3 linked regions of the Coturnix japonica genome follow. The protein of the gene in region 2 interacts with the protein of the main gene of each other region in a biochemical or structural test. Links are inferred from orthologs where the notes say so. Each region holds a gene or a part of one and is shown on either strand. Other genes may lie near its edges.

Evidence for each region.
Region 1: the proteins of SLC9A3R1 (region 2) and PDGFRB form a complex in vitro, tested with the Homo sapiens proteins (2 studies listed by BioGRID and IntAct, with this or other methods). The link is inferred for Coturnix japonica from reciprocal best matches to the Homo sapiens genes NHERF1 and PDGFRB.
Region 3: the proteins of SLC9A3R1 (region 2) and CFTR form a complex in vitro, tested with the Homo sapiens proteins (9 studies listed by BioGRID and IntAct, with this or other methods). The link is inferred for Coturnix japonica from reciprocal best matches to the Homo sapiens genes NHERF1 and CFTR.

The regions. Positions count from the first base shown.
Region 1 is NC_029528.1:4,805,063-4,808,562, reverse strand, and holds part of PDGFRB (platelet-derived growth factor receptor beta), read left to right. Parts: intron 1-876; coding exon 877-999; intron 1,000-2,242; coding exon 2,243-2,354; intron 2,355-2,661; coding exon 2,662-2,761; intron 2,762-2,865; coding exon 2,866-2,971; intron 2,972-3,440; coding exon 3,441-3,500. UniProt on the Homo sapiens protein: Tyrosine-protein kinase that acts as a cell-surface receptor for homodimeric PDGFB and PDGFD and for heterodimers formed by PDGFA and PDGFB, and plays an essential role in the regulation of embryonic development, cell proliferation, survival, differentiation, chemotaxis and migration.
Region 2 is NC_029533.1:9,149,675-9,151,894, reverse strand, and holds part of SLC9A3R1 (Na(+)/H(+) exchange regulatory cofactor NHE-RF1), read right to left. Parts: intron 1,025-2,220; coding exon 866-1,024; intron 424-865; coding exon 270-423; intron 1-269. UniProt on the Homo sapiens protein: Scaffold protein that connects plasma membrane proteins with members of the ezrin/moesin/radixin family and thereby helps to link them to the actin cytoskeleton and to regulate their surface expression. Necessary for recycling of internalized ADRB2.
Region 3 is NC_029516.1:22,050,258-22,054,301, reverse strand, and holds the end of CFTR (cystic fibrosis transmembrane conductance regulator), read left to right. Parts: intron 1-1,497; coding exon 1,498-1,670; intron 1,671-2,547; coding exon 2,548-2,653; intron 2,654-2,982; coding exon 2,983-3,189; 3' UTR 3,190-3,544; downstream 3,545-4,044. UniProt on the Homo sapiens protein: Epithelial ion channel that plays an important role in the regulation of epithelial ion and water transport and fluid homeostasis. Mediates the transport of chloride ions across the cell membrane.

The sequences.
Region 1 (3,500 bases), on a different chromosome or scaffold from region 2:
CTTCATCTCATTGTCCCTCTGTCCACACTGACCTCCTTGAGGGACAAGTGGCCATGCAGTGGAAGGGCTGCCAACCACTTTCCTTTGGAGATATAGCCCTGAGGATCAGTGTGATTGTACTTGCATGCCAGCTACCAACAGACCAAGTTTCACACCTCAGATTCCATGACTCTGAGCTCCTCCCAAGCCCTGTGCAGCACAGCTGTGGTGTTACGTCACCCTCCTTTACTGGGATGACCGGCTGCAAACAGATAGCCTTGCTGTGCTAAACAAAGGGCAGTCCAGAGCAAAGCTGCAACTCTCGTTGGACATTCACATTGCCCCACATGCTATAAGCTCCCAAAGCCTCTTAAGAAGTGCTTGTTCAGTGGTAATTAAGCCAATGGAGTGGACCAGGCTGTGGGGGATTCCTAAGATCTGGCTTAGCCTAGGATAGTCAGTAACATAGTCTCTCAATGAAACATCATGCAGGGCAGGGATGAGAGACAGGGTGGGGATTGTATGAATGACATGCAGAGAAAAATTCTGGCTCTTTGCCTCCAGCCAGCCAGTGTGATCTCCAAGAGTTACAGTCAGTGCTATCCCATGGAGCATAGAAGGGGAGCTCCAAATTTACACAATCTTACTTTGCAATAGGGTAACATTACTGTTCTAACTGTTAGTGTCTGGCAAACATAAGGCCCTTTCCAGTGTGTCTGTTTCAGTAAGCAACAAAAATAAGGTAGTCCTTCTAGTGGCTTTGAGCTATATAGGTCTATAAAGGTGAAGGAGATGACTCCTGTCCCTGCAGCAAAAGAAATGGGCTAGTGCTGAAGCTGGGCTTCTTCTCTGTGCCATTTGGGGCTGCTCCCAATGACAGTGCCCTGCCTCCTGCAGTGTGTGCATCGTGACCTGGCTGCCAGGAACGTCCTCATCTGTGAGGGGAAGCTGGTGAAGATCTGTGACTTTGGTCTGGCAAGAGATATCATGAGGGATTCCAACTACATCTCCAAAGGCAGCGTGAGTACCCGGAGCCACATCATCCCCTTCTCTGTAGGGCTCTGGGCCTGGCACCGTGCTCCCCTGCAAGCCCCCTGTCTGTTGCTGTGCCCAGAGGTGGTGACACAGCAGCATTCCCAGCTGATGGTGTCAACCATCACCAGCCAACCATCGTGCACTTGATGTCTGCATGGTGCTGAGCCTGGTCCTCAGCTGCAGGCAGGAGGAATGCAAAGTTAGGCAGCTTGGCAGCGGTGCAGTGAGTCACTGGCCACTCTGGGAAGATGTCCGCAGCCTTCTGCTGTAACCAGCAGACCACAGGGTAAGAGGAAGTGCTTTCCTGCAGGCAGCTACTTTCCAGAAAGGCATCTCCAGTCTTTTGAGGCAAGAGAGGATGGGGCTGTTATTGAGCTTACCTGTGCTTTCAACAGGAGTGTGTCTGCTCCAGCACTGAGGAGCTGGGGATGCACAAGCCTAAGCAGAGCAGGATGTGTAACTGGCTTCATTTGGCAGATAGGAAAACTGAGTCTGAGGGAGCTGAGAGTGGTGCCAGGCCCCTCAAAACTGTCTTTATCTACTCGATGAACTACTCAGCTTCCCCCCTGATTTGTCCCATTTGCATGGCATGGCAGCCAGATGTTGAGCATATTGGCCAGGGGACCTCTCTGCAGAGAGACTGTGATTTTCCAGTCCAGCCTTGATATGGCTTCTTTTCCTTATGAAACAAGAAATGAAACTGGGCCTCTTTGCAGTTCTTCCTGGAGATTATTTTGGTATTTGTTATGCAAGCGGATCTCTGGAACAGCACAGTCAGTGCTGCACACACTGATTGAGTGAGGCTCATTTTAGTGTATCGCCATGTGAGTAGGAACAGGAAAAGCTGAAGCTTCTGCTCTTTCCTGGTTGTCCCGTAGCCCACTCCAGCTTAGCCTTAGGTTTCCAGAGCGCAGATAGTTCTGGACTCCCTCTGGGAGTTCTGTGGTCATGCTGTGCAATCAGTGAACTCATCCCAAGGGCTGGGGAACAGAGATGCACACTGTGACAGCTCATTATAGCAGACAGGCTGTTCTGTATGATAGAAATGGATGTAGCACACCCGTTCTTCCCTCCTGCTTGCTGGGTTTGTCCTGCAGTAAGAAAGAGAAAATGGATCCCTCCAAGAAGTGTTGGTCAGCAGATATTTGGGGCTGTCAGGCAGCTCCAAGAGCTCCTCTCTGCTTGCAGATGCAGCTAACTCTCTTCTCATTGCAATTTTTCCTCACAGACCTTCTTGCCCCTTAAGTGGATGGCCCCAGAGAGCATTTTCAACAACCTCTACACCACCCTAAGTGATGTGTGGTCCTTTGGGATTCTTCTCTGGGAAATATTCACTCTAGGTAAGTGTCCTGGAGATCACGGTTGTGTCCACAGAAATGGTGGCACTTTAGCAGGATCCTTTCCTAAATGCAGAGGGTAGAAATCCATCCTAATCCCCAAGTCCCAACTCTACCAGCATCAGAGTAGCACTTCACTCAGTGTCTCCTTTTTTCCCATGCTGACGTGGCCACTTGGAAGCCAAATGAAACAGGAAAGGTAAATTGAAAAACAAAAAGCAAGCAGAGGAAACCTTGGTGTGAAAAGCATGTTGGTGTGGGGGTGGCAGGCTCTACATCAGCCTGATTCCCTGCTCTCCCTTTACTCCAGGAGGGACTCCCTACCCTGAACTGCCTATGAATGAACAGTTCTACAATGCCATCAAACGTGGCTATCGGATGTCCAAACCTACCCATGCTTCTGATGAAATGTAAGTGCTGCCTGCACGTGTTAACCCTGGGCCTGCTCTGCAGAAAGGACAGGAGCAGTTTTCCCTGATAAGTCACCAACGTGCCCTTTCTTCCATTTTGTTAGCTACGAAATCATGCAGAAGTGCTGGGAGGAGAAGTTTGAGATCAGACCGTCCTTCTCACAGCTGGTGGTGCTGATGGGAAACCTCTTGGTGGATTGCTACAGAAAGGTATGTGCAAAGGGTCAGTGCTCTTTGAAGGGATGCCACCTTGGTTTTACGGCATTGGATGAAGTTTTGGAGGCCCTGATTAATCATCATTAGCTGCTGAGCTGGAGCATTTTGCTGTGATTTGAGCTACATTCATTTAAACGGCCAGAGGAGGTGATTTGGGAATGCTGGGGATGTTGTGAGACAGCTGTCCTCATCAGGCAGCTGGTTTGTCAGCAATGGCAGAGATCAGAACTGGCTGAAGATCAGACGCCTGTTGCTGACTGATGCTTTGGAACCATGGAATTGTGCTGCTGATCACTCATATAGGAAACATTCACGATGTGTCTGTGGTGGAGTCAGGGTAGCTGAATGCAGCTAGATGTCAGCCCCTGGGGAAGGAAGCTTGGCAGTCAGGGAAAGCAAACACATCTGTGTGTTTTCTCCGCTCACAAGACCTTCCTGTTTTTCTGGTAACCTGCGAGAGCAGAGGTACCAGCAGGTGGATGAAGAGTTCATGAAGAGCGACCACCCTGCTGTTGTTCGCACA
Region 2 (2,220 bases):
TCCGGGGCAGCCAACGTGGGCTGCATCCTGCCACCATCAGGGCAGGGAGGGGGCCAAGGCTGAGCCGAGGCTGGAGCAAAGTGAAGGACAACCACACACCCTCCGTTCGCTCCCTGAGCCATAAGCCCTGTCAAAGTGTAAACCACAGGGCAATAAACCCTGCCCAGCACACACCCCACAGCCACGTGCCAGCTGTGGGCCGGGCAGGAAGGCGCCGACCAACCCCCATCCCAGCACAATGGGATCCCCATGCCTGGCACCGGACCCACCTGCCAGGTGCATCTCCGAGGGCACCACCCTGCACTTCTTGAAGAACTCATCAGCCAGCACGCCCACCACCAGCAGCTTGGTCTCATCGCCGCCCGCCTTGATGGCCGCCACCACATCCGCGTGCTGTTTGCCCTCCACGGGCGTCCCATTCACCTGTGGGTGTCACGGAGATAACGGACATTCCTCAGCCCCCCGCGGATGCCCGGAGACGTGCAGGGATTAGCAGCACAACCTCATTAAAAGCAGATTTTCTCAGAGCGATTAGCACAGGGCTGCACGGGGAGCGGGGCAGTGCCAGGAGATGACGGCACAGGGCGGCTGACCCCAGCACGGCGAGCACGGGCAGCCCTGGACCCACACAGCCACCACACACCCTCACGTCTGTGCCCTCCCATCCCAGGACAGCGGTGCTGCACGGGGTGACAGGTTGATGAGCAGCACGGCTGCACCCAGGGGTGGGATGGCTCTGCTCTGAGTCACCGCCAGCACTCAGGGCAGGGGGTGCCCCAGAGGAGCAGCTCCTGGGCGCTGCCCGCCCATCCCGTATCTCAGGGACACACCATGCTGCTGGCCTCCCATTGACCCCATCACCCACCTCAACAATGCGGTCCTGGGCTCGCAGCCCCGCCGCCTCAGCCGGTGAGTCGGGGTCCACAGCACGAACATACTGCCCAGGGCGGCTCTTCTCACTGTGCAGGTTGAAGCCGTACCCGTTGGGGCCCTTCTTGATGTGGCACAGCCGGGGACGCAGCTCCTGCGAGGGGACAGTGAAGGGATGGCTGTGAGATGGCGGCTCTCAGCCCTCACCCTGCTATGGCACAGGGCTGCAGACCCATGAAATTCACAATTGTGGGCACCTCCAGCTGGGCATGGAGACCAGAACAGACCGTGAGCCCCAGCCCTGCCTGGTTAGGTGCAGAACATGGTAACTATGGTGTTCCATTACGGAAGCCTGTTATTACACACATCCTCAGATCGGGCTCTTCCTTTTGGGATTAAGATTGCCCAGTGAAGGCAGAGGAGGAAGCAGCCTGGATGGAGGGCAGGCACCCACCTTCACCCTATGCCAACAGGTCCCACCTCCTGCAGACACAAAGACCACATCATCCCCCATCTGGGGGTGGCACCAAAGGGACCCCAGGTACTCACAGAGCAGCACCCACACTGAGCAGCCCAACCTATGGCTGCAGCAAACCAGGACCTGCAGGAGCAGGGCAGCAGCACGTGGGGCGTTCACCTCCTGGTGGCACCACCCCAGCCTGACTCAGTGTCCAACTGTTCATAGTTGTAGATTCATGGGATCATTAAGGTTGGAAAAGACCACTAAGATCATCAATCCAACCCCTCCCCAGTGACCACATCCCTCAGTGCCACATCTCCACGGAGCTGAGCACCCCCAGAGGGCTCCCCTGCTCCACTGTGAGCCCCTGGGTGAAGAAATGGTTCCTGATGCCCAACCTGAGTCCCCGGCACAGTGTAAAACCATCACCTCTCATCCTACTCACATAATACATGCATAGTGATACTGTCTTGATCGTTAGCCCCCGATCAGCGGTAGGGATTTCCCAGTGACAAAAGTCACACTGGAGTTCCTAAAATATCCCTCACCACGGGGTTTCATCACTTATCCTTCCCTTCGTCTGTCCTACTTTGGTACCCAAACCATCCCTGGGGACAGGCAGGAATTCCCCTCGTGCGTGCCCTGCGCTGCTCCTTACCCACAGCACACCCACATCACACCACGAAACTCCCTTGGCCAGCAATGATCCTGGGCTGGCACCAAGGACAGACACAGGGCGCTGCCGAGGGTGACACATTGGAGCAGCCACGCAATGAGAACAGCCTGTGTGACAGCCCCACAGCTGCTATCAGCCCCGTCCCCGTTGCACAACACCGTGGGGTCAAGGCTCACCAACGCCCAGCTGGGGACCAAAGGTTACGGCAGGACGT
Region 3 (4,044 bases), on a different chromosome or scaffold from region 2:
TGCTACAAGAGACAGCAAAGCAGTGCTGTGCTTCTCTGATGCCCTGAGACTGGGGGGGATTAATATTCCCTCTCCTGAATAAAAGTGAGTTCTAGTTCTGCTCTGGAGGGTGGTGTGTGAGAGCCAACCCTGGGACTTTAAAGAGCTAAACCTTATTCGAAACAGTGAGAAATTGGAACTATTTATCACTGAGGAGTTTGGCGAATCCAAATGTAACAACACCGAGTTCTTCAGTGAATTGGCAAGAGAATGCAAAGCAAATACAACAGAGCCGTTAATACTTTTCAGTAGGAGTGATGTGATTGTTTACACAGCTCACACTCCTCAAATCTGGCTCAGTGCAGGCAATGAGTCAGCGTGACTTCGGGAGCGCAGCATGGGAAGAAAGCAGACAACCAGCTTCACCCTGACCCACAGGCTGCTGAGGGCTTAGACAGTACTGCCACTATCGGTGCCACCTTTTAAGCTCCTTGTGTTGGGCTGCAGATGCAAGGTGCTGTCTGAACAAACGTCAGGTGTTTCACTTCCATTGCCCCAGTATTTCAGCGCTTGACTGTCACACTTGTGTTAATGTGGGGACTAGGTTTTCCTCGGGTACTCAGCTGTTTGAACCTCACACAGTTTTATGAAGAAAGCAACATCTCCAACTGAAAACCTGCTGCATAATTTCATTGAAGGGCAAATGTTATACTTGAAAGAGGAGTGATGGACAATGCAGTGACTTTGATTTCCTTATAAATAGCAGTATAAACTTCAAAAATACGACATGTAAGCTGTGAGGGTGCACTGCACATTTATCATGTATTTTGGAGCAGTGCATCTTTCAGATGTTTCCCAGTTCTCATGTTTTACAAATGCTGCTCTGGAAGTGCCAGGCAGCACAGTCGCCAGTGAGCTGGGGGTTGGCCTCATCTCTCGTGTCATTAGTGATAGGACCAGAGGGAATGGTTTCAAGCTGTGGCAGGGGAGATTCAGGCTGGACATTAGGAAGTATTACTTCTCAGAAAGGGTGGTCAGGCACTGGAATGCACTGCCCAGGGAGGTGGTGGAGTCACCGACCATGGGGGTGTTCAGGAAAGACTGGATGTTGTGTTGAGGGACGTGGTTTAGTGGGAGCTATTAGTAATAGGTGAACAGGTGGACTGGATGATCTTTTAGGTCTTTTCCAACCTTGGTAATTCTGTGATTCTATGATTCTAAGTTCTGAGCACATGGCTGTCTCTCCTAACTCAGTGTTTGGGTGGAAATGCCAGAAGTCACTGTATGTGACATACAAACAGAGCATTAACTCTCAGCTTCCCACTGTAAATCCTGGCCCGTGGTGTGGTTCAGCTTTTCACACCATCCAGGCAGCAGCCGTTGTAGGACAGACACTCGTTTTTATCCATCTGTATTTTCTGTTCAGGAGCAAAAACAAGACAAAAGAAGGTATTGCTCATCATACCCGCAGTCAGCAGTAACTGTGCCTCATCCATTTCTCCTTTTTCTCTCTGGCAGGTTGGGCTGAAGTCTGTGATTGAACAGTTCCCGGGCCAGCTGGATTTTGTTCTTGTGGATGGAGGCTGTGTCCTCAGCCATGGGCACAAGCAGTTGATGTGCCTTGCCCGTTCTGTTCTCAGTAAGGCTAAAATCCTGCTGCTGGACGAGCCCAGTGCTCACCTGGACCCCATGTACGTTTTGTTCACGTGTTCTAATATGAAATCCCAAAATCGGTGAGGCAGCACCCCCTAAAGAAACCTTCAGTAACTCCTCAGGTCTTGTACTAAGCCTGATTTCAGCTTTGGGAACAGATTTCAGCTTTTCCCTTGGGGAAAAGGGATGCACTCAACGTGTCACCTTGGAGTTGTACACTTTCTGAGCTGGCTTCCAGCAGTGAGCAACTCACTTCTGCTGTGTCAGCTGCAGCTCAGCCATGCTGGCTGTCCTGCTTTGGCTGGGCTACGTGAAGGAGGGAGAGGGACACGCAGTGACGGCTGCTGGGCTGTCCTCAGGGCACTGATCATGCTTGGTCCACACAAGGTCCATGGCCTTGTGTGTGAGGGCCAGAAATCAGGCAGTATCAAATGCAGGGCTCAGAAAGTTCAGATGTTCTTCAGTCTCTGCTCAGTGCCTGCTGTAACTCACTGTTCCTTGTTGTTGTGTTACCATCACAGTGCAAGGTAACAGAAATGCTCCAGCATGGTGGGTGCTGTAACCGTTAACAAATGGGAGTAACTCCAAACCCCAAATCTTACATCAGACTGGGATTTATCACCATGAGTTCAGCACTCCAAGCTGACTTATCTCCAGCCCGGACAGCAAGAGCGTAATTTAGGTCCAGAGAATGCCTGTGCTGTGTGGCATGGTTAGAGATGGTGGTATTTCTGCATGGAGTGTCAGAGAAGTTCAGTTACACCTTCACATTGGAGCAATGAGTGCTTTCCCAGTGGAGCTGCAACATGCTGAGCACCACAGCATGCAGCTGAATGACTGGAAACCACAAATGCAGTTATGGGCTGTGAGTGCTGTGTGTTGCAGTCTGAGTGCCAATGATTATTTGCCTTGCAGAACTTCCCAGGTGATCAGGAAAACGCTGAAGCACGCATTTGCAGACTGCACTGTGATCCTTTCCGAGCACAGGCTGGAGGCCATCCTGGAGTGCCAGCGGTTCCTGGTGAGCATCTTCCCCCATCTCCTGCCCTGCTGTTTTGTTACATTTGACAAGTCTTAGGTTGCCTTGGGTTGAAAGGGACCTTGAAGACCACCAGTCCCAGCCCCCTGCCGTGCTTTACCAGGGCCAGGGCAGGAATGGCCGCACTTCTTGAGCAACAGGGGGAAAAGGTTTTCTGAGGAAATATCTGGCGGTCAGAATCGTTGATGTCATTTATAAGGACATCTGTATATTGCATTATGGTGTGAGCTGGGCTGTGAGGGGTCAGCCGGGCGGGTGTCCCGGCACCTCCTGTGGCCACCGCCCATCGGAGGGGTGCGATGTTCCCGCAGGTGATCGAGGACAACAAGATGCGGCAGTACGAGTCCATTCAGAAGCTGCTGAGCGAGAAGAGCTCGCTGCGTCAGGCCATCAGCCACGCCGACCGCCTCAAGCTGCTGCCCGCGCACCGCCGCAACTCCAGCAAGCGCAAGCCCAGGCCGCAGATCTGCGCGTTGCAGGAGGAGACGGAGGAGGAGGTGCAGGAGACGAGGCTGTGAGCAGCACCGGCACCTCCCGGCCCTAATTCACCTCCCCCCGCCATGTGGCGGTGCGGCTCGGCTCGGTACCGCCCGGAGCGGCGCTGCCCCGCTCTGCGATCCGGGCTCCGCGTTCTCCTCAGCTCGGCGGTTCACAGACTTTCAAAGCGATTTTTATACTCTTCTTGGATTGCAGTTTTATGATGAACTTTCTCCAGGATATGTTATTTATTTTAATATTGTCGCCAACGTTTGTTAAGGAAATGATGTATTTTAAAAGAAGTGATTCTGTACTATAAAGAAAAAATATATTTGTACAAAAACTTGTGTATTGGGACGGTGTTTGGCCTTGGGTGCCGCATTGCCCGCACACAAACAAGGCGCAGCTTCGGGCCGGAGCAAACAGCCCACAGCAACCTGCCGTCCCACACAGCCTGGGGCCGCTCCTACACCGACCCTATAACCGACCCTATAACCGACCCTATAACCGACCCTATAACCGACCCTATAACCGACCCTATAGCGGGTCTGCGTCCTCCCTGCGCTGCCTCCCGCCAGCAGGGGGCGCTGCGGGGCCGGCTCCGCTCCTCCCGCCCAGCCGTATCCATGTGCAGGTCCCTGTCCCTGCCTGTCAGTCTGCTTTACTTCACACACACTGGATAAAACAAACCCCTCCAATGGTTCTTTGTTACCCAAAGCACACTGCATGCAGTAAGACCAAGGAGCGGGCTGAGTCCGGCACTAATAGGAAGATTTAATTTTGCAGCCTGAGGGGAAAAAGCCAAAATGATTAAAGAGAAATTGCCCTGCAAGGATCTGCATCTCCCCTGAAGTACAGAGGAAGAGGGCAGCCAGAAATGGCTCACTCAGCACCAA